Linked DNA regions of Oryctolagus cuniculus. The protein of the gene in region 1 purifies or fractionates together with the protein of each later gene. This does not show direct contact. Links are inferred from orthologs where the notes say so. Each region holds a gene or a part of one and is shown on either strand. Other genes may lie near its edges. The genes, in order: DBN1, HOMER3, GSN, HOMER1, TMOD1 and TWF1.

Region 1 (4,702 bases):
TCTCAACTGCTGCCCCATCCTGGATTCACTGGCACCCTGAGGACTCACTCTTCTCTCAGGGCAGGAGCCCATCCTGTTCCTAGACCTTCTTCCCCAAGCCCTTTCCAAAGAAGCTGAGGCCGGGTGTGAGTGCAGGTCTGAGGGACCTCACTGGAGCAGCAAGGTGGGGACACGATGGCCCTGGGGGCTGGCAGAGGGCTCAGGATGACCAGGCATCCATGCTGTGTTGCTGCAGCACTGGCCGGCGGCCAGGCCTGGAGGGATGGACGCGGGAGGCAAGCTGTGGTGTCCTGCAGGTTGGTCACGGGAGGGGGCCGGCACAGGCTAAGCAGGCAGGCGGCCCACCCATTGTCCCAGCCCTGCCCCAGGGGTGCTGAGATCATAGGAGGAGTTCTGGGCAAGTGGCCGGCTTGGCCGGTGGAGGAGCTGGCCCTGGGATGTTGGAGAGGCGTAGTCCAGGCTGAAGGTCTCCATTGCCCTTGGGTCTGGGGGGATTCACTTTCACCACCCCCTTCTCTCTTACCCCTTCCCCGAATTCGGGTGCCCCGGTGCTGGGGCCACACAGCCGCTGCTGCCCCATATCCTGGCCAGCAGCAGCCTGGGCCCCCACCTCCCAGCAACTTCCACGTGGCCAGGGCGAGTTATTCATCACAGGCATGCGTCAGCCCCCATCTGTGTTGTGTGTGGGACACACACGCAGATGCACACATGCACCCTTGCACATACACACATATGCTGGATCCCAAGGGCCCACGTGGCATTTGCTGAGAAAGGCGTGAGCATCACATACTGTAGAAGGGGCGGCAAGTGCCCCCAGCAACCAGCGTGGAGCCCGGAGACCGTGAGGTCTCAGGCTCAGGGCAAACAGCTTGCACTTGCAGTCCAAGGGGAGGGGCGTTTGGGTAAAACTGCTGTCTGGGCAAAGGGGAGTTGGCACTTTCCTCCCCTCCCTTGCCTCTGAATGGGGGGAGCAGCTTCAGTGGGGGAGAAGGAGGGGCGGGAGGGGGTTTGCTCCTGGGTGGCAGGGCCTCTGAGATAGACAGCCCCTGACACTGGGAGCGGAGCCCCGGGAAGTGAGGTTGTACAGCAGAAATGGCCCATGATGCCCCGTTGTGGAATGACTCACGGTGTGACTGCTCACAAGTTCCTGCTCCTCTCTGGTCTTGAGAAGACTGGGCTCAGTGTGGGGAGGTCTTTTCAGCTTAAGCCTCTGAGTGTGGTGGTCCGAAGGGACCCACCCACCCCAGTCTTTGCACCCCCAGCCCCGGCTGACCCCGGGATTTTCCTGGAGCTACCACATTCCAGCTCCCACCTCACCCTAATCCAGTTTCTTTGGCCTAGATAGTTTCTAAGCGTGTGACAGTATCACAGATGCTACTAATGTCACCCTACGCTGGACACGGGGACCCCCAGAGCCGTGTGTGGTACCTGAGTTCCTGCCTTCACAAAGCTCACCCTGTGGGCGCTGCCTGTCTCCAGGGGCTGGAGCTGGGGAGGTGTGTGCTGATTCCCTGTGGATTCACCAGCTTCACCCCTCTCACCCTGGCCCAGGGGGTCTGAAATGGGGTTGAGAAGACTGTTTCCATCGGATCGGGGTGGGCGCAGGTGCTTCTTCTTGTCTCTGCTGGTGTATGACAGATGCCCAGGGGAGGTGCAGCGCAGGGAAGCTGCTGGGGGCTGGTCCCGGGTCCTGGGCGTGGAGGGGAAGGTTGCCTTGTGAACAAAGGCTTTGGGAAGACATTTCCAGAGCATACTGGAGCTGAGAACCATCAGGGAGCTCGTGTGTGGTGTGAGGGGAAGGGCAGGCTGGGGCGAAGGGTGCACCTCCGGTGGGTTCCTCTGGGGTTGGGGGGTTGGGGGAGGGCTACGGCCCTAGCAGGAAGGGGTGGTGGGGAGGTGAGCCTCAGAGAGCCTGCCCCTGGCTGAGACCAGCGGCCCAGTGGCCTGGGACCTGTGGATGTTTAGAGCAGTGTCTAGGAACTAGAATCCCTGGGCTCTGCCTCAGTTTCTCATCTGCAAACAAAAGGGGCAGACCCTACTTCTGTGAGAACCCTTTGTTCCCAGCAGGGGCTAGGGCAGCTGGACAGGTGGTGGGACAGCTGTGCCCGGAAGCAGCTGTCCTCGGGGCCTGGGCTGGGGCAACAGTTGGGCCAGGAGCTCCCAGCCCAGGGCCCACCTGTGCTTTTAGCTGGGGGCAGAGAGGGGAGGGAGGCAGGAAGAGGAGGGGCTGGGGGTCACCCAGCTCTGGCACTGCTGACCCATGGGGATGGGGCCGTGCCTCCCTCTTCCCTCCTGGTTTTCTCTCCTTCTGTTCCTCCCTCCTTCCTTTTTAACCCCTTCACTTCCCTCCTTTCTCTTCTTCCTTGTCACTGCCTCTCCCTTTCTCTTCTCCAGCCCCCCGGGCTCCTGCCTGTCTTCCTGGCATCTCCCAGCCTCCTGCTTTGGCAGTGGGGAGGTGGGAGTTTGGAGAAGGGTCTGAGCTCTTCTGAGCCTCAGGCACAGGGCCCAGGCCTCTCCGCCCAGTGGGTCCCCGGCTTGGGCCGCCTCCTGATGGGAGGCGTCTCTGCATTTCCTTCCGTGAAATGGATGCTCTGCCGTTCGCCCAGGGAGAAAGAGCCAGGGCAGAAGAAGCCAGGCAGGAGGAGAAAGGAGGCGGGGTGGGGGGAGGAAGGCTGCTAGGTCAGCTTTCTGGCCGGAAGCTGGTAGTCCCAGGAGGCCCCCACTAGGGCGGAGGCGGCCTAGGGTCTGGAAGACCAGGAGGGTGAGGCCACCCTGAGGCCAGTGTCTGGGCAGTGACCTCATCCCCATTTCTGAGAGGCGGAGATGGAGTCTGAGGGCGGGTCCCTGGGGTCCTTTGTGTGAGAGGAGAATGCAGCTCTGGTGGGCCAGGCGAGTGCCAATTGCTGAGTTGCCATGGTTACCGGGGGATGCCCAGAGCTGTGCGATCACTAGGTTCTCTCTCTCTCTCTTCCCCCTCCTTCTCCAAGAGGGGAGGGGCCTCGGGTACCAAGGCGTGCGCCAGGTAGGTTCCTGGCCCTGGCCAATGGGGGATGAGGATTGTGGTAGCCAGGGAACGGTAACCAAGGAACCGTTGCCTTGGAGTTTCCATCGCACACCCGCTCCGCTGGGTTGTGGGCTGCCAGGGCCGGGGCTGGACGCGCTGAGCTCCATCAGGAAGCGGCTTCGCCCCTGATTCTCTGCTCTGCACCTGACCCAGGCCTCCACCAGGTTCCCAGAATGCACCCTGCCGGGCTGCAACCAGAAACACTCCTCGGCCCTGTAGTCATGGTGACAGCAGGAGCCTCCCCGCTCCGCCCAATCCCCTCTGTGTCCCTCTCCCTCCCCAGAGCCATCCCCACCCAAATTTGGCAGCCTGAGCCCTGACAGTTCCAGGAGCCTCCCCTCCCTCTCCCCAGGGCTCTGTACACATATGAGGATGGCTCAGATGACCTCAAGCTGGCGGCCTCCGGAGGTAAGAATTCCAGCCATTCCTCCGCCTTCTTTCCCGCCCCCTCCTCTGGTTGTTTTCTTCCCCACCGCCTGGCTCTTCGCGCGGCCAGCCTCCCGCCCGTACTGGTCTGGGGGCTGTCTTCCTCCTGGTCGTCCCTACTAGCCCCGTGCTGGGCCGGGAGGGGGCTCTTGCTTCCTGTGTGATCCTGGAGATGGAGTCTCAGAGACGGAAAACCACTTGTCCAAAGTCCCACAGCTCAGAGGGAAGGGGGCCAGCAAGAATGGCCCAGGTCAGCCCCACATTCTCAAACCCGGAAGGCTTTGTTAACGAGAGCTGTATCTGACCTCTCTGGGCACTAGCACCTGGGGAGATGAGTGTGTGGAGAGTGAGAAATGTGGAAGGAAGTGTGAAGAACAGACGCTTCCTGGGGCCCTGGAGGATTCAGAGGCAAAGTTAGGTCTTGTAGGCACCCCCAGCACACAGCGCGAAGCTCTGGGGGACCTCCCGTGCTCAGGGCCCAAAATTCCTGGAGGGTGACTGCCCAGCCCACCGAAGTCCTTCCTTGGGGTCCCAGGCCCTTGGCTGGGTCAGGGTTTAGGAGGCCCAGAGGCCTGACGCCTTCTTGACTCCCCCAGAAGGGGGCTTGCAGGAGCTCTCAGGCCACTTCGAGAACCAGAAGGTGATGTACGGCTTCTGCAGCGTCAAGGACTCGCAGGCGGCTCTGCCAAAATACGTGCTCATCAACTGGGTATGCAGCCGCCGGCCGGGCACGGGAGTGCGAAGCCCTGCACCCCCTCTGCCCGCTGACGCGGGGCGAGCAAACCCGCTGGGCCCTGGGGCCTCGGGCTGCTGCCTCTCTCCTCCTTTCCTGATCCCTGCTTCTCTGGGGACTTCACAGGTCGGCGAAGATGTGCCCGATGCCCGCAAGTGTGCCTGTGCCAGCCACGTGGCTAAGGTGGCTGAATTCTTCCAGGTGAGTGCGGGCCCAGGGTAACCACCCCCAACCTGGGTGGGGGCTGCGGCTGTGCCCTGAGTGGTGACGGGAATGGGGCTCACCGCTGTCTGAACACTGCCCTCTTGTGGTAGGGCGTGGATGTCATTGTGAATGCCAGCAGCGTGGAGGACATCGATGCGGGCGCCATCGGGCAGCGGCTCTCCAATGGTCTGGCCCGGCTCTCCAGCCCCGTGCTGCACCGACTGCGGCTGCGGGAGGATGAGAACGCTGAGCCTGTGGTCAGTGCATGCCTGGGG
Region 2 (4,878 bases), on another chromosome or scaffold:
CCCGCCCCCGCCGCCCTCCCCGGGGTGGCCGCCATTCCTCCGCCCCACTTTCTGTCCTCCCCCTGGACGTCGGCCGAGACTTCAAGGACAACGCGGCCAAAAATAATCGGGCCCCAACCTCCCTCCCGGAAATGGGGCGGCCCCGCCCAGCCACCTGGTAATTAGCGCACGTGGCCAATTAGGGTAATTAGGTCTGGGGCAACGGAACCTGGGGTCCAGTCTGGATGGTTCCAGCCCCTGCTGCCTTCCACCCCGCCCCCCACCCCGGACCTGGGGTCCTCAACCCAGGGCTGGGCCCCCACCTGCCTGTTAACCCCTTCCGGCCTGGGCCAGAAGGAATGGAGTGACTTCGCTTTGGCCTGAGTCAGAGGTCAAGTTCTGAACTTGAGGCAGGGTCTCCGGCGGCTGTGCCCCCGAGGCATCACACTCTCGCTCGCCCTTGACCCCCAGGCGTCCAGCCAGTGCTGGGAGGACACGGGTTTGTCTCAGCTCTCGAGGTGCACTCAGGCCCGGGGGGGAGTCAGAGGTGGACACAGAGGTGAGGCTTTGAGGAGTGAATAGGAGTTTGCCAAGCGCTTAAAGTCTGGAAGCTGGACCAAATTGCTATGGCCGGGGGAGGGGGGACAGGGGAAAGAAAGGGGCAAGTGGGGGCCAGCACGGTGGCCCAGCCTCTCATACGAACACCGGGTTCGAGTCCTGGCTGCCCCACTTCTGATCCAGCTCCTGCTGATGCACCTGGGGAAGCAGTAGAAGATGGCTGGAGTCCTTGGGCCCCTGCACCCACATGGGAGCCCTGAGGGAGCTCCTGGCTTCAGCCCGGCCCGGCCCTGGTGTTGTGGTGGGGGCCCGAGTACCTGAGCCGGTGCCACCTGCTGCCCCCAGGGGGCTTGGCAGACACTGGGGCTCCTCTCTCTCTGAAAGCCTGCGTGGTGTCTGCTGCAGGTCCGGCTTGATCCAGGAGCAGGACAGAGCCACGCGGGAGGTGAACGGGAGCTGAACCCTGGCACGGACAGGCGCGGGACCCGGGAGGCTGGGCCCCTGCTTGGGCCGAAGGGAGCGCTCCAGGGAGGAGCAGAAGCCCCTCCCCAGACCCTCGGACCAGAGACATTAAAACAGGGGAGGGCTCTGGCTGGGGTGGGGGTGGGGCAGAGGCTCGGGGCAGCCCTTTCTCCTGTCTCCACCACTGGGGGACAGCCGGGTCTACACCACCTCCTCCCCTCCCCACCGCTCATTCCGGCCCTGCCAGCATCCACCCATTTCCCAGGGGTGAAAACTGAGGTCCACACCCAGGGAACCACGCCCACCCCCTCAAGCCCGGCTGTGACGGCTTCAGGTCAGGGCTGCTCAAGGCCAACCGGGTGCCAGCCCCTCCCAGAAGCTGGGAATGGGGTTCAGTGCAGCCACTCGGTGCTCGCTCACTCTCCCTCTCTCCCTCTCTCGCACACACAGACACCATTGCTTTCTGCCTACGCTAGGAACAAAGTCAGCTTGGGCCCCTGCCCAGCTGCTCTCCCCTCCCCCGCCCTGATACCCACGTGGGCAGCCGGCCCAGCACTCGGCACACCCGGGGTGGCTTCCAGGAGCCCCGGGCTTGCCAGAAACCGATTTAGTTATTAAAAAAAAAAAAATGATTTTGCTGGGCCTAAGGAAAGGTCGGTCTGTGGACAGAACAGACCCCGCTCCCGTGTTCCCGAGAGTTTGTGCCTCGGGCCCTCGGCTGGTGCAGCAGCAGCTGGGCCACCCCCGGAGGAGGGGCCCACGCGGGGTCACAAGGCGCTCGGGACGGTACGGAGGCCCCTGGGAAGCAATGGGGCCGTCGGGGGAGAGTCTCTTTCAAGCCTGGGAGAACCAAGGGAGGCTTCCTGGAGGAGGCGGACCACAGCGGAGCTGAGCCTCGGAGCCCAGGAACGGAGCGCGTCCGGGGTGGGGAGGCGTGGAGGCGGCCGGACCCTGGATCCACCCAACGTTCATTCGTGAAAGGTGGCCACCGGCTGCGCTGGGGGATTCTGGGTAGCGAGACACACGGGTGCCGGGGGCTGGGGGGGGGAGCCCCTGAGGCTGTGGGAAGATTCGGGGGTGGGGCCCAGAGCCCCGGGGACCCTTGGGCTGAGTTGTTGCAGGACCTGAACCCATGAACCCAAAACAGTGGCGGGGGGGGGGGGGGCATCCGGAGAAAGTCCCAGAGAAAGGCGTGTTGGGGGGGGAGGGGCAGGCCCTGCCCCCAGCAGCGTGGCCAGCGTGGGTCACTCCACCTGCGGGCCTGGGGTCCTCTCGGGGAGACCCAGGGGCCCAGGCAGGCAGCCCTGCCCCACCCACGTCTCCTCTTTTCGGTGGTAACCCCTATGGAGCACCTACTGTTTGCATCTCCTGGGCGCAGAATCCGCACCCAGCTCCTGAGCCCCGCCCGGCTGCCCCCCCAGCCCAGGCCCGAGGGCGAGAGCCCCCCACCCCCCTCCAGCTCTGCGCATCCGCCTCCTGTCCCTGTCCGGACGTCCGTCTCCGTCCGTCTCTCCATCCCCACCCCTCCCCCGCCCCCTCCCCCGCCCGCCGTCGGGGGCCAGCAGGGGGCGCAGCGGGGCGGCCTCGGCGGCCCGGGGAGGCGGGGCGGGCGGCGGCCGCGTCGGGACCGGCCGCGATGGGACCGGAGGCGGCGCGGACGGCGGCGGCGCAGACAAAGGCGCGGGCGGCGCGTTGGGCGGCGCGGAGGGCGCGGGCCCCGGAGGCTGGGAGCGAGCGGGGCGCAGACCCGGCAGGGTGAGCCCGGCCGGCCGATCCTGCGCCCGGAGCGCGGGGGGCCTCGGAGTCCCCGGGCCCGGGCGGAGGTTGGGGGGAGGGGGGAAGCCGCGGGGCGATCCCCAAGTTCCGGACCTGGGGACTGGGGCGGGGGGCGGCGCGAGGGGGCGGTCCCCGAAGTTCTAGATCTGGGCTTGGAGAGGCGGCCGAGGCGGGGGAGGGTCCCCGAAGTTCCGAAGTCGGGGGCCGGGAGGGGACGGCTGGGCACGCGAGGTGCCCGACGTTCCGCACCCGGCGTCGGAGGAGGCTGCGCGCGCGGGGTGGGGGGATCCCCGACTTTCCGAGGTCCGCGTCAGCAGGGTGTCCCCGAAGTTCCGCGCCGGGCGGTGGGGGTGGCAGGGAAGGTGGCCCCCGGAGTCGCGGACCTGGGGCTCTCGCGGGGATCTCCGACGTCCCGAGGTGGGGGCGCGCCCGGGGTGTCCCCTACCCCCGGCGGATGAGTCCGGGGCGCATAGGGTGTGGGGCCTCTGCCCCGGGCCCCCGGGAGGTGGCGAACCCCCACCCCCACCCCGCGGCGGGAGCCCGGGCGCGCTCGGCGGCGTCCTGGACGCGTGACCCGTGGGTGAGTAACTTGTCCCAACGCCCCAGTCTCGGCGGGGGCGGGCCCGGGGCCGGAAGGGCACCTCTGCGCCCCCCTAATCCTGCCGCGCCCGGGACCCGCCCCTGGCCGCCGCTCCCCCTGCCGGTGGGGAGGGGCTCCGTGTTCTGAGCCTCGGACCCCCCCCCCCCCACAGCAGCCTGTGGGAAGGGGCATCGCGGCCTCTGATCTCGGAGGTCCCCCGCAGGTGCAGGTCTGGGGGTCCTGGGGGCAGCTTCCTGGGGGTGGCGGCTAAGGGAAGCAACAGGGAGACTGGGGGACCCTCTTCTGCCCCCTCCTGGATCCTGCCCTGCCCCCACCCTGGAGGGCACCTGCGTTGGATGGGGGGGTGGGTCCCTGGGGATTTGGACTCTGTCTTTAAGGTGCGCCGGTGCCCCAGGGTGACTGCGGGGGGGGGAGGGGTACTCTCTGGGAGTTCGGTCGGGAGCTGGTCTCCGGGCACCTGGCAGCGCCCCACATTTTGGCGGAAGGGCCCTGGTTTGGAGACGGATGGGTGCTGGCAGGTCGGGAGCATAGCCCCAGGATGGAGGGGGGACTGTGGGGGGGGTCTGGTACCCAGGGCCAGGTTGGGATGTCAGGAGTCCCCGAGCACCGGGTTTTGTGGGCGCTGCCCCCGGACAGGGGAGGATGGGACCCCTTTGCTCCCGTTCTGCACTTTCCTGGTTGAAGGTCTGTGCACCTGCTGGTGGCTCGCCTCACCCTGGCACAGGGGGCACTCAGAGGCCCCTCCCCTCTCTACAGGGGCCAAACCAGCAGCTCCGGCCACCCAGCCCGGTCTGACCAATGTCCACAGCCAGGTGAGCGCCCAGCTGCCCTGACCCTGAGCCCAGCCCCCCCGGGGGGGCACCCAGCACACCCCTACCCCCCACTAAGCACGCTCTGCCCGCGCAGGGAGCAGCCCATCTTCAGCACTCGGGCACACGTGTTCCAGATCGACCCGGCCACCAAGCGGAACTGGATTCCCGCGGGCAAGCATGCGCTCACCGTGTCCTACTTCTACGATGCCACCCGAAACGTCTACCGGATCATTAGCATCGGAGGCGCCAAGGTGGGGGGTGTGGTCCTGGGGCTGGTCCCCCCACCTTGCCGTGTGCCGCGGGGCATGGGAACCCCCCCCACTGACCCCTGCGAGGTCAAATGGGGGAGAGTTTTCAAGGTCACCATTGCTAGCGCCTGTCAACTTTGCCCCCACCCCACCCCCAGGCCGTCATCAACAGCACCGTCACCCCCAACATGACCTTCACCAAAACCTCGCAGAAGTTCGGGCAGTGGGCGGACAGCCGCGCCAACACCGTCTACGGCCTCGGCTTTGCCTCGGAGCAACATCTAACCCAGGTGCGCCTGGGCCTCTGTTTTCCCAGGCTGCAGAATGGGCGCGCAGAATGAGTCGAGTCCGGTTCCCCTAGTTCAAGCGCCCGTCCTGCTGGCTCCTTGCGCCTACGCTGGACTCTCCCTGCTTCTCTTTGGGGACTGATGCTCATGGTTGC
Region 3 (4,178 bases), on another chromosome or scaffold:
CTGACTGCCCAGCTGGACGAGGAGCTGGGAGGGACCCCTGTCCAGGTGAGCCAGCCCACTGCTTCTCGGGCCTGCAACCTGGGCCTTTTCCCTCAGGTTACTCATCCCTAATTGTCTGTCTATCCATCCATCCATCCATCCATCCATCCACTTACCCATGCATCCACTGGCCCATCTGTCCACCTACCCATCCATCCACCCACACATCCATCTACCTACCCATCCATTCACCTACTGATCCACCCCCATCCATCCATCCATCTTCGTACCCATCCATCTACCCATCCACCTACCCATCCATCCGTCCATTCATCATCCATACATCTACCTATCTACTTATCCCTCCATCCCTCCATCCAACAGATCTTTATTTAGGCAGGGCTTCCTTGTGCGTGCACTGCATCTGCAACCATGACACACAGACACTGCCTCTGCCTTGATGGGCTCTACGTTCTAGGGAAAGATCGACACTCTGCAAACACACGCACACTTGAGGACATACCACCACATGCTGTGAAGTGTGCGGCCAGTGGAAATGCTCTCTCCCCGGTGAGAGGGGCCACGTGGCAGAGCAGTTAAGAGCTTGGCTGTGAGTCAGCCCACTGGATTTGAGTCCTGACTGCCCTCCAGACAACCTTGGGCAACTCACTGAGCCTGCGCATGCGCCCATGTTCTCCACATGGGGATGGCAGTAGTACCCCTCTCCCAGGACTGCTGTGAGGACTGAGGTGACATCTGGAGAGCGTCCAGAGCCACACGCGGCACAGGAGGCCGGGTCCCTCCCACGGGCCTGAAGGGTAGGGACCTCCATCCAGATAGGATCTCGCGTGCTCAGTGAAGGCCGCCTCTGAGCAGTCAGCCGGGGCCTAACGACGTGTAGGAGGCAGCCGGGCCAAACATGAAGGAAACGAGGGATGAGGGCGTGCAGTCCCGGAGGTGGGAGGGAGCACTGGGAGTTGAAGCGAGGGAGACGGTACCACGGTGTGAGCTGGAAGGATGTGCACAGGGGCCACGGTCGGCCTCGTTCCTGAGAAGGACAGGAAGCAGCCGCGTGGCAAAGCTGCCATGACAAGGTCATCCTGGCTACTGTGCAGCGCCCTGGAGGGCAGCAGAGCCACACCACGGGGCAGGATGTGGGGGACGCAGTCAAGAACTCCGCCTTCTCCGTCCTCCCCTTGGGCGTGGGCAGGGCGCTCGGTCTGGGTTTGGGTTCAGTGCCCCGACCTAGGAAGCCGTCTGAGTGTTGGGTCCTGAGTGACAGGATGGCCGGCTTAGCTCACTGCACCCCAGCAACGGCCTTCGAAAGGAATCGCGTCCTTGGCCCCATTTTACGGAGGAAGAAGCTGGGTGGTTGGGGCACGCGTTTGGGTTCTCGCCGCTGGGGTGGGGTTGACCTGAGCTCCCAGCAGAGAAGGCACACACGCAGGTCAGGAGCAGCTGAGCTAGAACTGGGCCACCTGCCTCCCACTTCCCAGCCCCCTGCCCGCGGCTTGTGTCCACAATGCCCTGGCCGTGCAGGAGGGGTCTCTCTAGATCTGAAAGGTTCTCCGGCTTCTGCGCCCAAGGCTGGCATCACCATTCCGGAAGAGTGTCCGCCGACAGTCCCGGCACTTCCGCTTAAGGGGATGTTTGCAAACAGCACTCTCCTGTTTCTAGGAGTCAGCAAGACTGGGGTGGGGTGGGGGAGGGTGTCAGAGCAACCAAGGCAGTGTCTCCCGCCCTCTGGGCACACCGGCCTCAGGCCCCATGCCACACGCAGACACGAGTGTGCTGGCCTCCTAGTGGGGACAGGCCAGTGCCACATAGCACAGGCGCCCCACCCCCAGCTTCCCCGCCTCACCTTTTTGTCTCCCTGCCAGAGCCGCGTGGTCCAGGGCAAGGAGCCCGCCCACCTCATGAGCCTGTTCGGCGGGAAGCCCATGATCATCTACAAGGGGGGCACCTCCCGCGAGGGCGGCCAGACGGCCCCTGCCAGCACGCGCCTCTTCCAGGTCCGGGCCAGCAGCTCCGGCGCCACGCGAGCTGTTGAGGTAACACTCAGGTCCCAGCCCACAGGAGGCGTTGCGCTCGCTGGGCCTCCACGCTTGATGGGCAGATCCAGGCACAGGACAGGGTGTGCTTGGGTGCTGGGTGAAGCAGCCCCGGCAGCGGGCTGGTCTGTCTTGGACTTCCCCCCAGGGCCCCTTGGATACCTTCCACAATGGGCAGATCACTACCTTCCATGCAGACTGTTCTAGACAGCCTGGGCACTGTTCCTGATCGCATTGCTGTTGGCTATGGTCCCTTGCACGGTGGAAGGCACAGACTTGGATGTAGTTGTCCAGGATGGCCTGAGAAGCCTAGAGGAGAATGGGACTATAACCTCCTTTGTTTGGGCACTCACCCTCTGATAATATAGCCCAGAATTCTAGGATCTTCTTGGCTGGCCACAGTGTGTTAGTGATTCAAGGGGGTCAGTTAAATCCCCTCAATGGGCGAAGTCTGCACCCCCAGGTCTGTTGGGGTGAGTTTCTCTAAGGCCCCGCCCATGAGTTGGGTCTGCCACAGGCTCTCCTGCGTTCTGTCTGCTTCCCGATTAATCCAGCGCTGCCCTCCCAGGTCATCCCCAAGGCCGGTGCACTGAACTCCAACGACGCCTTTGTCCTGAAAACCCCGTCGGCCGCCTACCTGTGGGTAGGTGCAGGAGCCAGTGAGGCAGAGAAGACGGGGGCCCAGGAGCTGCTCAGGGTGCTGCGGGCCCAACCTGTGCAGGTGGCGGAAGGCAGCGAGCCAGGTAGGAGCTGGGATGGGGCTGCCGCTCTCTGGGGCCTGCAGCTGTTGGTTTCCCTCCCTGTTGAGCACTGTTGAGCAATGATGATGTGCCTGGCAGGAATTAGTGGAGATGAGGAGCAGGACTTTATTATTATTATTATTATTAAAGATTATTTATTTATTTACTTGAGAGGTAGAATTACAGAGAGAGAAGGAGAGAGAGAGATCATCATCCATCCACTGGTTCACTCCCCAAATGGCTGCAATGGCCGGGGCTGGGCGGGGCTGAAACCAGGAGCTTCACTCACATGGGTGCAGGGGCCCAAACACTTGGGCCCTCTTCTGCTGCTTTCCCAGGTGCATTAGCAGGGAGCTGGATTGGAAGTGGAGCAGCCAGGACTTGAACTGGTGTTCATATGGGATGCCAGTGCCGCAGACAAAGGCTTAACCGGCTGCACCACAGTGGCACCACAGTGCCAGCCTTGGAACAGGACTTTTAATTAGGAAGAATTTAAATTGAAGTAGCCACATATGGACAGTTCAAACTAGATTAGGTATAGTGGGAAGATTATGGGGACTGGAGTCAGACAAGATGTACATCCTGGTTTTACTACTGACTAGCTGTGTGGCCTTGGGTGAGCTGCTGAACCTCTCTGAGCCTCAGCTGCCTCAGTGTTGAGTGGGGATAATCACCCCCATCTTGTGGTGCTTGTTGTCAGCCTCAAGCCAGAAGTTGTCCTGGGTGTGTGTCTGCTGCCGAGTCAGCCCTCCAAGTTCCCCTGGGCCCCTTCTCTGTTGGCCCTGGGGCTTTAAGAAGGAGGTGCGGCCGGGGAGCAGCTGGCCGGGCTGGTGCGAGGGGTGGGGCAGCCGGCATCCCTAGGCAGCTGCTGTGGCCTCCCCTTACAGATGGCTTCTGGGAGGCCCTGGGCGGGAAGGCCGCCTACCGCACGTCCCCACGGCTGAAGGACAAGAAGATGGATGCCCACCCTCCTCGCCTCTTTGCCTGCTCCAACAAGATCGGCCGCTTTGTGGTGAGCCCCTGCGTGGACACCTCGGGAGGCATTAGGCGGGTGGGCAGCATGGGGCCGGGAGGAGGCACTGGAGCCCCCTGCTGGCCGATCGCGCCGTGCCGCTCGCTCCGGGGTTCGGGGTCACACGCGGGACGCCCACCCCGGGAAGGGAGGATGTCTCACCAATCCCTTCTGCTCACTTCTGTTCTTTTCCAGATCGAAGAGGTTCCCGGCGAGCTCATGCAGGAAGACCTGGCTACTGATGACGTCATGCTCCTGGACACCTGGGACCAGGTGAGCGAGGGCGAGGGGAGAGGCTAGACCCCCAGCCCGCTGGGGCAGGTGCAGCAGGTGCTGCTGGGACAGTCCCCGAGCTGCTGCAGGCCCTGCCCTTTCGAGCCTCCCTTTCCTCCCCTG
Region 4 (4,970 bases), on another chromosome or scaffold:
CACTGCAATTAAAACAGTTCGGGCAACACTGAAGATACTTTGACAGACTCTGCCAACTGTCAGTTCCAGCTGTTCTTTTCCATTTCCACACAGTGCAGAAACTACTAGTGCGGGAGCCATCATCTTTTTTTTTTCTGCCTAAACTAACCACCCATTTTGTCAAAAATAATTCCTCTGCTTAGACTTCGCGCCAAGACGTTCAATGATATGCCTAATGAAGGCAAAGATAAACTTACAACAACCTGATGTGTCTGTAACAGGTGAAACTCTTCACCCACAGCCCTGACCTGTAGGCACCAGTCAGAGCCAAAGAGCTGGGACGGCCTGGGTGAAACGTTACAGCCTTCCTCAGGGTCCGGGCAGCTTGGCTCATTCCACAAACATTAGCTCCGGCTCCGGCCAAGCCCGGAGCCTTCCTCAAATGCCTTTGCTGCCTGCTCCCAGCCTGGCCCTCTCAACAACTCACGTGACACAAGTCACAGCAAAACTAACAGCACACTCACTCTCCTTTCTCAAGTCAGTCCTTCACGAAAGAGCAAACAAACGTGCTGCCCGTCTAAGTTTCATTATGTTGCCTGTCTACACGCGCCTGATCCTACCTGAAGGGCTTCCACAGGGTAAACACCAGTGCTCTCATGTCAACTTTACCCCACATTCCCTTAGCACAATGCTGAGCTCGACTACGCAAAACGGGTTTTCTTCCATGATGTTCCCACCACACCGTCTACAGAGGACGCAGCCTTCAACACGGGAAAAAAAAAAAAAAAAACTGCCTATTTTTTTTCTCCAACACATTTAAACAGAGCCACTGATGCTTAAGGGAATCCATATTTCGAAGACCCTCATTTAAAACTGGTATTCATCTGGAGCAGTTTCCCAATGCTAGCACTCTCCCGTGTCAGCACTTCAACTGCCATCCGAAACAGCTACTTCAAGAAACCAGCCGGTAACCATTGAAACGGGAAGAAGGGTGAGGAAAGAAAGAAATTCATTTTCACGGGTTGGAGCCTTTTTAAAAGGCCACCTCATGGAACTCCTTCATGCCACAGAAACCACGAGTCAGGGAGGCTAACCTGCTTCCCAGCACTAAGCTACTAACAGCAGCACCAGAAACAGGACTGCTGACTTAATTACTCTTAGCGCTGCCCCACACCAGGCAAGTTCAGAACACTAACCATTTAATGTTTCAAACATTCAGTTCCTCAGAACGGACTCCTACCTCGTGTATTCTGAACTGTCCAAGTCCACGAGCTTCAAGCGTAATTGCAACAGAAAGACCCTATCCAAGAACTTTGGTCTGGGAGTTTCAGAAAGCGTGGCGACAGCCCTGGACCTCAGAACACAATCAGAATCCCCTCCTTCTAATCTTGCCCTCAACTACACCCAGCGTAGTTGTTTAACCACAAAACAAGGAAGATTCTGGAAGTCCCCCTTAGACCGAAAGCACGGGCGATCTATCACGGGCAGGAGTAGCTCATTACTCCAGGGTTATACGGGTTTCCAGCCTGCATGAGGAGGTCGCTAGGATTTTAAGCAGCGACAGTGTTGAGAGCGAATCCAAGGTTAGGAAAATGCACTCTGGACTGGCTTTGGGTGAGAAGGCAGGAGAAGGAATGACACTTAACACAAACAGCAGGTCTGAGCGACACAGAAAAAAAAAAAAAAAAAAAGGAGAAAAAGTGTACAAGTTCCTTCCACCAGGAGCCTGTCCACATCCGATCTCCGCCCCGCGCGCCTGCGACTCCCAAGTGTCCATGCCCAATCAATCGACCCCACGCACTTCAGCTTTGGCTATTCAAGGGCAACACAGAGGGCAAGGCGGGGGCAGCAACGACCGAGCGTGGATCGCGCCCCCGGCCGGAGTCCGCCGCGCCGGGCTCCGGGAGGCGCCGCCACACACCCCCAGGTCGCGCGGTTCTGCCCGGAAACCCAACCAGCTGCCAGCCCGAAGCCCGAGCGGGCAGCGGCGGCCCCGCGAACGCGCCCGCGGAGCCCACACTCGCCGGGACGCGCGCCTTCCCTCCGACTCCGGAGTCACTCGACAGAAATAGCTCGCGGAAGGTGAGCGCGCTCGTGGCTGAAGGCAGGGCCAGCTCGGCGAGGCGGCAGACGCGCCGGGACGCCGCGAGCCCAGCACCGGCAGCACGGCCGCCCACCGACACGCGGGTGCACACACATCCTTACCCCATCTTGCCCAGCGAAAACTTGCTCGCAAGTTCCTGCTCGCGGCGACGGGGTTAGCCGGCGGGCAGAGGGGCTGCTCCGAGCGGCGACCTGGCCGCGCCGCCCCCGAGGTCCCTCGGTGCCGCCGACCGGTCACTCCGTGCTCCCTCGGAGACACCCGCGCGTCCGGACACAGGTGCACCCGCTCGGCGGAGGAGACGGCGGCCGCGCTACTCCACGGCGGGAGCCTCCATGGGGGAGGACCGGAGCCGGCTTCACGGAGTCCTCGGAAACACGGCCGCGCCGCCCATTCCGCTCAGGCCCCTGCACGCCTGGGCAGGGCCCGGGAAGCCGGCCTTCTCGGCGCGGGGGCTGCGGGTTCAAATTTCTCCACACCAGGTCCCCGGGGGGGTGGAGCGAGCGAGCTGGCCGACGTGCACTTCAGCAAAAAAAAAAAAAAAAAAAAAAAAAAAAAAAAAAAAAATCCTAGCAGCAGCAGCAGCAGCAGCAGCCGCACCGGCGCCGCTGGCCCGCGCTCCCGTCGGCAAGACCCGCACAGCACAGCCTGCTCCGAGCGCACAGCCGGCAGCGCGCGGCGTGCACGGCGCTCCACATCGGAATCTGTCTAATGCCTCCCCTGCGAGGACGCGGAGCGGGGAGGCGGCGGGGAGGCGGGCGCGAGGGCTGGGCAGGACCGAGTCGCTCTCCCGAGCGCGAGCAGCGGGGCCATGTCCAGGCCGGCAGCAGGCTGGGGGCGCCGCGCGCCCGCGGCAGCAGGGGGAGGCGGCGACCCCACCCCCTCAGCCCCTTCCCGGCCCCCGCCGCCGAGCACAAAGGGGCCCGGCGGGCGCCCAGCTCCGCAGCCGCCCTGCGCCCGCGGCCGAGCGGCGGCGAATGAATGAATCAGAGCCCCGGCGCCCTGCCCCCGCCCCGGGCGCGGAGGGCCGGCAGAGGCGAGCGCGGCCCGCTCGCTCAGCGCCCGCCGCCGGCCTCGAGCCCGCCCGCTCGCCGAGGGGAGGGCGCCGCGTCCCGGTCGGCGGCCGCGCGGGGCAGGGGCGGGGCGCGGGCGGGGCGAGCGCGGGGCGCGGGCGGCCCCGGCCCGGCCCGCGGCGGGGAGGGGCTGCAGCGGGGCTGGAGCGCGGCGGGGGCGGCCGCGGAGCCCCGCCCGCGGGCCCCGCCGACCCGGAGCGCGGGAGCGCAGGAGCGCAGGAGCGCGCGCGCGGGGCGCGGGCCAGCCGGGCCGGCCGTGCGTCCTCCCTCGCCCCCGCCGCTAGTGGCCGGCGGCCGGCGAGCTCCGGGCCGCCGCCTCCGCGCGCCGCCCCGGGTGCTCGCGCTGTGCCTCCATCCTCCCCGCAGGAGGACCTTTAAATAGCAACGTCAGCGCGCTCTCGCCGCACGCGCGTCAGCCGCCGCTCGCGTCACCCGGTGCGGGGGATGATGTCACGCGGCCGGAAGTCCTGCTAAATTAGGGACGGCGCAGGGGAGGAGGAGCGGGCGGGCTGCCTGTGCCCACCTGCGCGGCTGCTCCTGAAAGGCCACCGCACGGGAGAGGGCCCGCGAGCGGCGGCGGGAGGAGGGGGCGCGCCCGCCGCGAGTGACTCACTCCTGGCGACGGCGCGGGCGCGGGCGGGGCGCGGGCTCCCCGGCCGGCACCGGCGGGTGGGTGTGGGCGGGGGGACCCCGGTCGAGAGGCTGTCCCCGCGCGGGGAAGTGACTCGCGGGACCCGGGCGACTCTGGGGCTCGCCCCTGCTTACCCCGAGAGGGCCGAGCGCGGAGCCCTGAGCGGCCGTCGGGGCGCTGGACGGCAGCGGTCACCGCCCTGACCGGGGACGCAGGCCGCGCGCCGGCGGAGTCGCCCTGGTCTGCGGCGGGACCGTGGGTGAGACCCGTCCGCCCGGTGATCGTCCTCGTCCACACGGCCGGTGGCACTGGTCCCCACGCCCCGGTGTGGCGAGGGGACGCGGGCCAGGCTGTGGGCTGGAGCAGTGGCAGCCCCGCTAGGCACCTGTTCGTTAGCGCGAACAGGGTCGGGTGAACCGAGATCCCGTAGGTACGGAGTTGTTTCTCCTGTCCTGCCTGGTCGGGCTGAGTGTAGGTGATGGCCACGTGCGTCTGTGTCTATAAGGGGATTTTATGAGGGCTGTTCAGTCCTGAGCACCACGGAGTCCCACTTGTTGTAGCAGAGTTGATTTGGGAGGTAGTTTCAAATAATGAGCTTAGGTTTGATTTTGTTTAGATCGATGATCATGGTCCAAAATGGAATTAACTGTGTTTAGCCGAAGGCCATGAGTGTTCCAGAGTTAATCTATAAAATCAGTGAGCATGTATTCCAGTCCACAATGCCGAAACACCTCTCGACATTAGAATTACTGGAATCCTAGGTGACCTGGGAAGTTCTGGATTTAGGATTAGCAACTTGTGAAGTGATTTGTTGGGACAGTTAGAAATCACTACCAGTGCAGCTCAAATACAAAAAGTCAACTTTTATAGAATGTATACCACGTGGAGACAGAGAGACGGAGATCCTACATCCTCTGGGTCACTCCCCAAAAGGCCACAAGGACCACGGCAGGGCCATGTGGAAGCCAGGAATTTCATCCGGGTCTTCCATGTGGCTGCAGGGACCTGGACTGGAGGTGAAGCAGCCCAAACCAGTGCCCATATATGGTGCCAGCCGCTGAACCCGTGGTGACACAACGCAGGCTGTGTGGTTTTTTTAAGTCACGTTTTAATGTGAAATTACTCACACAGTTCCTAATTAAGGGATATTGGGCTTGTGGCTTCTTACATTTACATTTTCTTCCTC
Region 5 (4,178 bases), on another chromosome or scaffold:
TCTTTCCTATGTATACGCTCAACCATTCAGCAAAGCTTTCGAATGGAAAAAACAGAGCTTCTGATCCATCAAGTGGGAAGCGTTGCAGTGCTAGAAGCAACGTGCCGGGGTGGGAGGAGCATGGCCATTGCAGTGAGAGAGACCCGGATTCAAATCTTGTTTCCTAGGTACCGCTCTATGGCCCTGCTTCTCTTTAGCTGCCTGAGCCGTGTTCTCCGGACAGAGACCCGCGATACCCTCAGCCTTCAGGCTGTTCTGAAGATCAGAGACGACAGATACCAGGTGTGTCGCTCAGAGGCTGGCCCCCAGGAATCCCTCAAGACATGTGACATCCCCAGTAGTGTTCCCCACACACCGCTCCAAGTCCCCTCCTCCTGCAAAGTCAGAACCGAAGGAGCTGCCTGCGGATACATGGCTCAGCCACAGGTGTGACAGTCACTCTGCAAGGCTGAAGACAGATGAGAATCTGCCCCCATTGGAACCCTCAAGGCAAGGAGACTCAAAAGCCCTGTGGAGTGGGAAGGGGGAGGGGCTTGTGGCCTGGTGGTGGAGAGCCCAGCGGTGTGGACTGAGCCACTGTGCAGGCCCCTCGAGCCTGGGGCTGGCCGCTCCCGGGGGCAGCGTGCAGGCAAGTGTGGATTGGCACGTGGTGGCTCTGGCCCATCTCACCTGGTTGTCGATCTTCAGCTCCACCAGAGAAGTGTTGTGGGGCAGGGCTTCCACCAGGCGCAGGATCCCCGCTCCAGAAATGAAGTTGGATTCCACGTTGAGCGTCTTGAGCACCTTGTTCACTTTGAGCATCTCGGCAAGCGCCTTGAGCAAAGCAGGGGTGCCCGTGAGTCCCCCCACCCCCACCCCCCCCACCCCCGAGCGAGGCCGGAGCCCCTCGTGGGGCTGCAACTTCACAAGCCGAGGGCAGCAGGCAGGACCATCTCCCCACCGCCCTTCACCGACTGCAGCTGTCCCCGAGTCTCCTCCCCTCCTCCCTGCCACGGCCGCCGAACCCCAGCCGCTGCTCAGTCTGCACCCAACGCTTCCGGGGCCTGGGCCTGGCACTCCGCCCTGTCTGGCTTCAGCTCCCGCCGCCCCCATCGCTGGGGCCACGCGCAGTTCCCACGAATATGCCCAGGGCTTCGGCTCCTTCCATCTCTTGCCTTTTTATCTCGCTCACCCTTTCAATGCTGCCCTTCCTTCAAGCTGTTCTCAATGCCTCTCTCCCAGGGGCTTCTGCCGACCTCCCGAGCCAGCTGTGGCCTGCTCTCGGGAACCCGTGCTGCATTTTACTATACTTCCCTTGTGGGACGCGCACACCTCTACTCTGCTGTTATCAGTGCCATTGGACCACACCCTCAGGATGAGCTGAAAATGGGCCTCATTTACCCCAGGCCGCTCAGCACGTAAGAGGCCCTCATTCATCGAGTGAGCCATGGGGTCTCCAGTCCTCTCTATACGCTGCACTTGTCTCTTCTGCTGCTCTGTTACAAGGGCACGGAGACACCGTCTGTCCATCTGGGTACCAGCAAGCCTAGGAAACCACCCCACTGGGCAAGTGACCAGGGCCGGCGGGGGGAGCAGAGCTCAGGTGGCCTCCAGCACGTTTCGGAGGGACCCGGCCAGGGGTGTGGATGACGGTCGGAGCCTCTGAAGGAAATGAGGTAATTAGCAGCTGGTGGAAACGGTGCGTCATGGAGGAAAGAGGACACCGGCGGCTGAGGCCCGGGACATTCTGACCGGCGGGCCCTGCTGTGTGAAGTGACACTCGGGGCCAGGAGCGCCTGCCCATCGTCCCCGTTTGCTCAGCTCCCAGGGAGCCTTCCATGTGGAAATCACCGCTCCCTCTGGAACTCCCCATGTCAGCCCCCTTGGTGGACCCACACTGTCCGTGTCCCCTCTGCGCGCCCCAGGAGAGCCTGCCCTAACCACCAAAGACTTTATCAGCCAGGAGACAGTGGGGCCAGACCAGTCTGCTTAACTCTTTCTGTGCTGGAGGGACAGAGGAGGGGGTGGGGGCACGGGACAAGAGCCAGGGCAGGCAGCGGGCTCTGGCAGCTTCTGGCCCAGCAGCGTCTCAGTAGTGGACAATGGGAATACTCCTATGAACGGGCTGACATCAGCTGTTGGTCTGGCACAGGGTCCATGCCCTAGATACACTCAAAGCACTGAGCTGAGCCCTGCATGGATGTGCTTGGATTCTGGCCCATGACCTGGTGGAATACAGGGCCAGTGGCTTTGCCACCTGTGTCACCATGGGCAAACTCAGGATCCACTGGAGGGCTACTGAGGTCAGAGGTCACCCACCCAGAGGTTCCCCACCGGCAGCAATGATGGGATGCTGGGAGCTATTTTTATCATTTCAAAAATATGGCAGGAAAATTGTCCTGTCCATTTGCAAAGGCAGAAAAGGCCCGATTGCCACTGAGTGGTGAACTGCCAGCCCTGGTAGGCTGATTCCTGCTCTGGGGGGCAGTAAGACCCCTGTGCTGTCCTCCTTCAGTCGTGGGCACAGCCACACGGGCCTGTTTGCTCCTGAACGTGGGAGCTGAGACTGTTTGGACACAGCCGTGTTTGTGTCACTGCTGGGCGCTCCGAGGAGCTCAGTGCGTATGTGTTGAATGTTTGGCAGTAAAAAAAAGAATTGATGGCTACTTTGCAGTAAATACAACTTAATTTGATTGCCATTTTCTTTTGAGACATGGGTAAGACACAAATACAGTGAGTCATTTGGTCCTACCGATCTCTTTCTATTGACTGATTTCAGAGTAGGAGACGTCGAGGCCCCGGGAGGGGCAGTGCCTCGTGGACACAGACCTGGCTTTGGGGGTCACATGACTACGTCTGAGGCCCAGGCCCACCTCTCTTTCTGTGCAAAGTGGGGAGACCTGCACCGCTGAGACCAGAGCTGGCTGGGAGGAGGCGTGGCAGGGGCCCAGGCAATGGCTGTCCCATCCACGTCCCCTCCCACCTCCTGGTCCAGTCTTTGCACCACACACACCCCCCAGGACACATTCTCAGTGGGGTCTGACCAGTTCTGGGGCCAGAAGCTTCACGGCTCCTGGGTCTCAGCCCCGCCTCAAATGCCAGAGAGGAGCAGTACGTACAAAGGCCACGGGGTCGTTGCTCCGCGTCCCCACGATGCTGAACTTCTTCACGTGCGAGTTGTCTTTCAGGGCTTCTGCGTACGCCTTGAGGGTGGGAATGGGGATATTCTGCAGAGAGAGGGGCAGCAGAAAGTGACCAGCAGCCCCTACTGGGGCCAGGCTGGGGCGGGCTCAGGGGCGGTGACTCTCACGTGGGGAACCCAGTTCCTTGCTGATTCCCAGTGAGTCTCCATCCAGAAAAACTGAACGGCTTTGTCTCAGATAGCTGAGATCTGGGGAGAAGTTTCTGGTAAACTGATTGGGAACCAAGCCCCTCTGGAGACTTCAGAAGGCACCTGTGGCTCTGTGTGTGCACGCGGAAGCTGGAGAATGAGGCAGAAATCAAGGACTGGAGACCTCAGCAGTGTCGTGCAGAGGGCTCGGGGACAGGGGCTGGTGGAGGTGGGGTCTGGCCCCTGCCCCAGTGGTCAGTGATGTTTCTGTGTGACTCCGGGGACATCTCTTCCCCTCTCTGGGTCTGTTTCTGGAAAGCAGAGATGGGGGGGTTGCACACGATGCCCTCAAAGAGATGCCAACCCCAGAGGGCCCGGCTCTGGCCGCACATCAGAGGCTCCTGGGGAAATTCTACAAAGCGCTGACGCCTGGTGCTGCCCGGGACCAGCGTGCTCTGAATCTTGGTCTCTGCAGGTGAAAACCACTGATGTGATCCAACCGCCTCAGGAGAGGGGAAGCTGAGGCCTGGAGGGGGCTGAGTCCTGGGCGGAAGCCTGGCGGTGAGGTCCCACGCCCTGTGTTGCTCTGTATCTTGATTCTGAATGGTGCCAGCGTCTCCCGCCGGGCACACGGCAGCCAGCTGAGGCACCTGAGAGAGAAGCTGGCTACGTGTCAGCCGCTCTCTCATTTCAGAGTGTCACCCGAGCTCCCGTGGGAGCAGAGTTGGGCAGCCAGGTGGTGGAGGACACCAGAGCACAGGTTTCCAATCTGATGGCGCCAGGGGCGGGAGGGGGAGGGGGCTGGCAGCCGCTTGAAAGAAAGTGGAGAAGACAGGAAAGAGGAGCAGGAAGTGAGGGGCTAGCTTTG
Region 6 (4,178 bases), on another chromosome or scaffold:
AACCTTTTCTTAAATTTAATGTTTTTCTGATACAGTTCCATTTCCTGACCTGTTCCCCCTGAGACAGCGGTGGGAGTTTTATATTTGTGCCATCTCCTTTTTACATAAATCCCTAACTAGCTGTTGTACTGTTCGTGTTTCTAAGTTCACATAAACCACATTATCCTCTATCACTCTGAATTTTCCTTTTCCTGTAAATTTTGTAATTGGCTTTTATGGAGCACTCATTAGTTGCTGTGCACGTATTACATGTCCATGGTTTTCCTGATGAATAGTCATTCCCAGTTTTCACTGTTGTGGCATACTGCCGCAGTGAACACCTTTGTGCAAAAGTCCGACAGGTTTTCTGTGCAGGTTCAGTTACACTTTTACCTCATTCTGCCAAATATCACCACACAGTGATTGTACCAACTCAGGCTTCTGGGTAGATTTTAAAATCTATAGCATTGTGCTCAAACAGGAGCTAAACCGACTTTATGTAATACACCTTCGTATATGTAGTTAAGTGTTAATTTCAGAAATGGTGTTTTTGGCTGACAGTACAGTTTTGTTTATTAAATTTATTTGACAGGTAGAGTTATAAACAGAGAGAGACAGGTCTTCCTTCCATTGGTTCACCTCCCAAATGGCTGCTGTGGCCGGCACTGTGCCATTCCGAAGCCAGGAGCCAGGTGCTTCCTCCTGGACTCGCATGGGGTGCAGGGCCCAACACTTTGGCCATCCTCCACTGCACTCCCGGGCCCCAGCAGAGAGCTGGACTGGAAGAGGAGCAACCGGGACTAGAACCCGGCACCCACATGGGATGCCGGTGCCACAGGCGGAGGGCTAACCAAGTGTGCCATGGCGCTGGCCTCGGCAGTACAGTTATTTAAATATATCTTGTTGATAATTTATAGCCCAGACATTTTGGAAAGTAGAACTGTATTCACCCATTATTTAACCATTCAGCTTAACTGTTAGGATCGTTTTTATGTGTTCCTTTCTTGTGCTGTATATTAAATACTTCAATCATGCTGTTCGTAAAATCTTAATATCTGTTTTAATAGTACTTTATATTGTAATTATATTCTGTTACCACCTTTTTTTTTCAACTTTTGGTGTAACAGTAATTTGGAAATAACTACATATTAATTTATTCTCCTAGTGTTTATCAGACTACCACTTGGTATTTCAAACCATTTATATATCTTTAAATACTGCTTTTCACAGAGCAACTTGTGATTGGCTCCTCTCGTCAGCCTTTAGACTCTTGGGATAAGGATTATGATCCTTTTATTTTACCCCTGTTGGAGGACAAACAGCCATGCTACATATTATTCAGGTTAGATTCTCAGAATGCCCAGGGATATGAATGGATATTCATTGCCTGGTCTCCAGATCATTCTCATGTAAGTAATTTTTAAATTTGTTTATTAAATCATAGAAGGACATTTTTCTGAATGTTTCTAGGCCAAGTCAAGGTTAAGAAGCAGTAGTCATTTCCCATAGAAGGAAATGCGCATAGAGAAATTCTTTGAATTGCTTATGTAAAATCAGGATAATGTACTTAGATTCGGAAGTCTTGCCCTTGAAATCAAAATAATTAGCATTTACCTAAAATTTTTAATTTTACTGTCTGGTATATTAAATGATATGGGCCTCTGAAGAATGAAGCTATTTTGTCCTGAGAGATAATTGTATTAAATCTGAGGACTAATTGAGTATTACATTTTGTTATTATTCCCCATACATTGTTAATGGACATGTGCACAGCAAGTATTTCTTTTAGGATTGTAGACTTGGTAAATAGAACAGAAGATAAGATGAGGATATGATCCAGCACACAGAAGTGATACATGTCTTAGTGACAGCTCCACTCCTTACTGTGACCAGATCATTGCACATGTATCCCTGGGTTAAAATGCTGCCTGGTGGCTGGTGCCGCGGCTCAATAGGCTAATCCTCCACCTGCCCTGCCGGCACCCTGGGTTCTACTCCCGGTCGGGCGCCGGATTCTGTCCCGGTTGCTCCTCTTCCAGTCCAGCTCTCTGCTGTGGCCCGGGAGTGCAGTGGAGGATGGCCCAAGTCCTTGAGTCCTGCACCGCATGGGAGCACCTGGCTCCTGGCTTTGGATCGGCGTCTCAGCTGAAGCACACCAGCCGTAGCGGCTATTTGGGGGGTGAGCTAACGGAAGGAAGACCTTTCTCTAACTTTGCCTGCCCCCCCCCCCCAAAAAAAACAAAACAAAACAAAACAAAACGCTGCCTGGTGGTACCCTCTGAATGGACAAGTATTCTGTGTCAGTTAAAGAAATACAAACACTGCCCACAAAGAAATACTGCATTTGACCCTGCAGGATTATGAAATTATTTCTATTAATTGGTAGCTTTTGTTAGCAACTTGCCATAGATCTCTCCAGACTCTGTTTTATTGGTGTGTAGTATATTTCCCTTTATCCCACATCCCTGATAGAATGGTATATGCCATAAGTGAGCCCTGGATAGTTGATGCTTGACAGCCTGATTAGTAATATCTGATCTAGCTTTGAGTAAAATGTTGCCAGCAAGGTTACTTCATTTCAGTGTTTTCTCTTTAAGACCCTATTTTAAGTAGGTTGTTACTCTTGAGCTCATTTTATGCTTTGACAAATGAGGAGTTTTTAAGAATTTATATTTTTTCCATTTTAACAAAGTTACATAGATTGAAATCTACCTTAATAGTCATCGATAATGTGGAGGCTCATGTTTTTATGGTTGTTTGTACACGTTTAGCATGTTATGGTCAGTGGGCTTCAGTTTTAGCACAGTTTATTTTCAGTGTACTTGTAGATTTTTTTTTTACATTCAGAATATTCCTTTTTTAATGATGTCTTTTCATGTCTAATTGTGAATTTTCTCAACTGAATAGGTTCGTCAAAAAATGTTGTATGCAGCAACAAGAGCAACTCTGAAAAAAGAGTTTGGAGGTGGCCACATTAAAGATGAAGTATTTGGAACAGTGAAGGTACAAACCTAGGTTTTCAATGATACAATTAGAATGACTGATGAAGAACTCCTAGGTAATGCATAATTGATATGAAGCTGCATGGATGAATCTATAAACCTAAGACTAAAAGAAAATGGTGGTTTTTTTATATATCAGACAAGTTAATGCTAATATATCACTAATTTTGAATTCATTCATTTGTACCTTTGACATTGAGGATAAAAGGTATTGAAATACACTTATCCTAAAATACTTACATGGTAATGACATGTGTTTAGGTATACATACAAAAATTAAGAAAATTGAAATATTTTTGAACAGTTTGTGTGTGTTTAGAGCTTTTCTGATTCAGAACGTAATGTAATCTAGTGGGTAGGACACAATTCAAAATGGGAATGTGTTTACGATTGATTGTAAGGTGGTCTTAATTTAATTTTATAAGCCTCAGTCTCAAACTGTGGTTTTTTTGTTTTTGTTTTTTTTTTTTAATAGGCAGAGTGGACAGTGAGAGAGACAGAGAGAAAGGTCTTTCTTTTGCCGTTGGTTCACCCTCCAATGGCCGCCGTGGCCGGCGTGCTGCAACCAGCGCACCACGCTGATCCGAAGGCAGGAGCCAGGTGCTTCTCCTGGTCTCCCATGGGGTGCAGGGCCCAAGCACTTGGGCCATCCTCCACTGCACTCCCTGGCCACAGCAGAGAGCTGGCCTGGAAGGGGGGCAACCAGGACAGAATCGGGTGCCCCGACCGGGACTAGAACCTGGTGTGCCGGCGCCGCTAGTTGGAGGATTAGCCTATTGAGCCGCGGCGCCAGCCAACTGTGAAGTTTTGATAGGTAGACCACTTTTGAGTTTTTTTCTCTTTATATAAAAAGTGTGGTAATTTCCTCTGAATAATTACAGAAAAATTACTTAAATAATCATATAACTCAGAATATAAAGGTTGATTATTGATAATTATAGGGCCATTCCCCCTAAAGGCTAATTACAGTTGTTTTGTAGACTTGAGCATGACCAGGTTCATTGGCTAGCATCACCACCAACAAACTTCATACAAAAGATTTTCTGATAAAAACTTCAGCAAATGAAGAGTAGGTACTCTTCTCCCTTAAAAAGTTTTTTTTTTTTTTAAAGATTTTATTTATTTATTTGAGAGGTAGAGTTACAGACAGTGAGAGGGAGAGACAGAGAGAGAGAAAGGTCTTCTTTTAGTTGTTAC

The links.
Region 2: the proteins of DBN1 (region 1) and HOMER3 purify together in Homo sapiens (co-immunoprecipitation; 3 studies listed by BioGRID and IntAct, counting the BioPlex papers as one, with this or other methods). This does not show direct contact. The link is inferred for Oryctolagus cuniculus from reciprocal best matches to the Homo sapiens genes DBN1 and HOMER3.
Region 3: the proteins of DBN1 (region 1) and GSN purify together in Homo sapiens (co-immunoprecipitation; 3 studies listed by BioGRID and IntAct, counting the BioPlex papers as one, with this or other methods). This does not show direct contact. The link is inferred for Oryctolagus cuniculus from reciprocal best matches to the Homo sapiens genes DBN1 and GSN.
Region 4: the proteins of DBN1 (region 1) and HOMER1 purify together in Homo sapiens (co-immunoprecipitation; 3 studies listed by BioGRID and IntAct, counting the BioPlex papers as one, with this or other methods). This does not show direct contact. The link is inferred for Oryctolagus cuniculus from reciprocal best matches to the Homo sapiens genes DBN1 and HOMER1.
Region 5: the proteins of DBN1 (region 1) and TMOD1 purify together in Homo sapiens (co-immunoprecipitation; 3 studies listed by BioGRID and IntAct, with this or other methods). This does not show direct contact. The link is inferred for Oryctolagus cuniculus from reciprocal best matches to the Homo sapiens genes DBN1 and TMOD1.
Region 6: the proteins of DBN1 (region 1) and TWF1 purify together in Homo sapiens (affinity purification with mass spectrometry; 3 studies listed by BioGRID and IntAct, with this or other methods). This does not show direct contact. The link is inferred for Oryctolagus cuniculus from reciprocal best matches to the Homo sapiens genes DBN1 and TWF1.

What each region holds. Positions count from the first base shown.
Region 1 is NC_091437.1:63,462,955-63,467,656, reverse strand, and holds the start of DBN1 (drebrin), read left to right. Parts: upstream 1-1,372; 5' UTR 1,373-1,380; coding exon 1,381-1,496; intron 1,497-3,416; coding exon 3,417-3,472; intron 3,473-4,086; coding exon 4,087-4,199; intron 4,200-4,349; coding exon 4,350-4,424; intron 4,425-4,537; coding exon 4,538-4,684; intron 4,685-4,702. UniProt on the Homo sapiens protein: Actin cytoskeleton-organizing protein that plays a role in the formation of cell projections. Required for actin polymerization at immunological synapses (IS) and for the recruitment of the chemokine receptor CXCR4 to IS.
Region 2 is NC_091447.1:65,895,432-65,900,309, reverse strand, and holds the start of HOMER3 (homer protein homolog 3), read left to right. Parts: upstream 1-1,838; 5' UTR 1,839-1,980; intron 1,981-2,600; exon of another isoform or gene 2,601-2,754; intron 2,755-2,919; exon of another isoform or gene 2,920-3,355; intron 3,356-4,132; 5' UTR 4,133-4,174; coding exon 4,175-4,188; intron 4,189-4,282; coding exon 4,283-4,439; intron 4,440-4,594; coding exon 4,595-4,726; intron 4,727-4,878. UniProt on the Homo sapiens protein: Postsynaptic density scaffolding protein. Binds and cross-links cytoplasmic regions of GRM1, GRM5, ITPR1, DNM3, RYR1, RYR2, SHANK1 and SHANK3.
Region 3 is NC_091432.1:225,314,192-225,318,369, forward strand, and holds part of GSN (gelsolin), read left to right. Parts: coding exon 1-45; intron 46-1,859; coding exon 1,860-2,030; intron 2,031-2,598; coding exon 2,599-2,773; intron 2,774-3,657; coding exon 3,658-3,782; intron 3,783-3,977; coding exon 3,978-4,055; intron 4,056-4,178. UniProt on the Homo sapiens protein: Calcium-regulated, actin-modulating protein that binds to the plus (or barbed) ends of actin monomers or filaments, preventing monomer exchange (end-blocking or capping).
Region 4 is NC_091445.1:3,261,863-3,266,832, forward strand, and holds the start of HOMER1 (homer protein homolog 1), read right to left. Parts: upstream 3,186-4,970; 5' UTR 2,190-3,185; coding exon 2,185-2,189; intron 1-2,184. UniProt on the Homo sapiens protein: Postsynaptic density scaffolding protein. Binds and cross-links cytoplasmic regions of GRM1, GRM5, ITPR1, DNM3, RYR1, RYR2, SHANK1 and SHANK3.
Region 5 is NC_091432.1:201,382,171-201,386,348, reverse strand, and holds part of TMOD1 (tropomodulin-1), read right to left. Parts: intron 3,207-4,178; coding exon 3,099-3,206; intron 814-3,098; coding exon 670-813; intron 1-669. UniProt on the Homo sapiens protein: Blocks the elongation and depolymerization of the actin filaments at the pointed end. The Tmod/TM complex contributes to the formation of the short actin protofilament, which in turn defines the geometry of the membrane skeleton.
Region 6 is NC_091440.1:134,928,592-134,932,769, reverse strand, and holds part of TWF1 (twinfilin-1), read left to right. Parts: intron 1-1,209; coding exon 1,210-1,388; intron 1,389-2,886; coding exon 2,887-2,982; intron 2,983-4,178. UniProt on the Homo sapiens protein: Actin-binding protein involved in motile and morphological processes. Inhibits actin polymerization, likely by sequestering G-actin. By capping the barbed ends of filaments, it also regulates motility.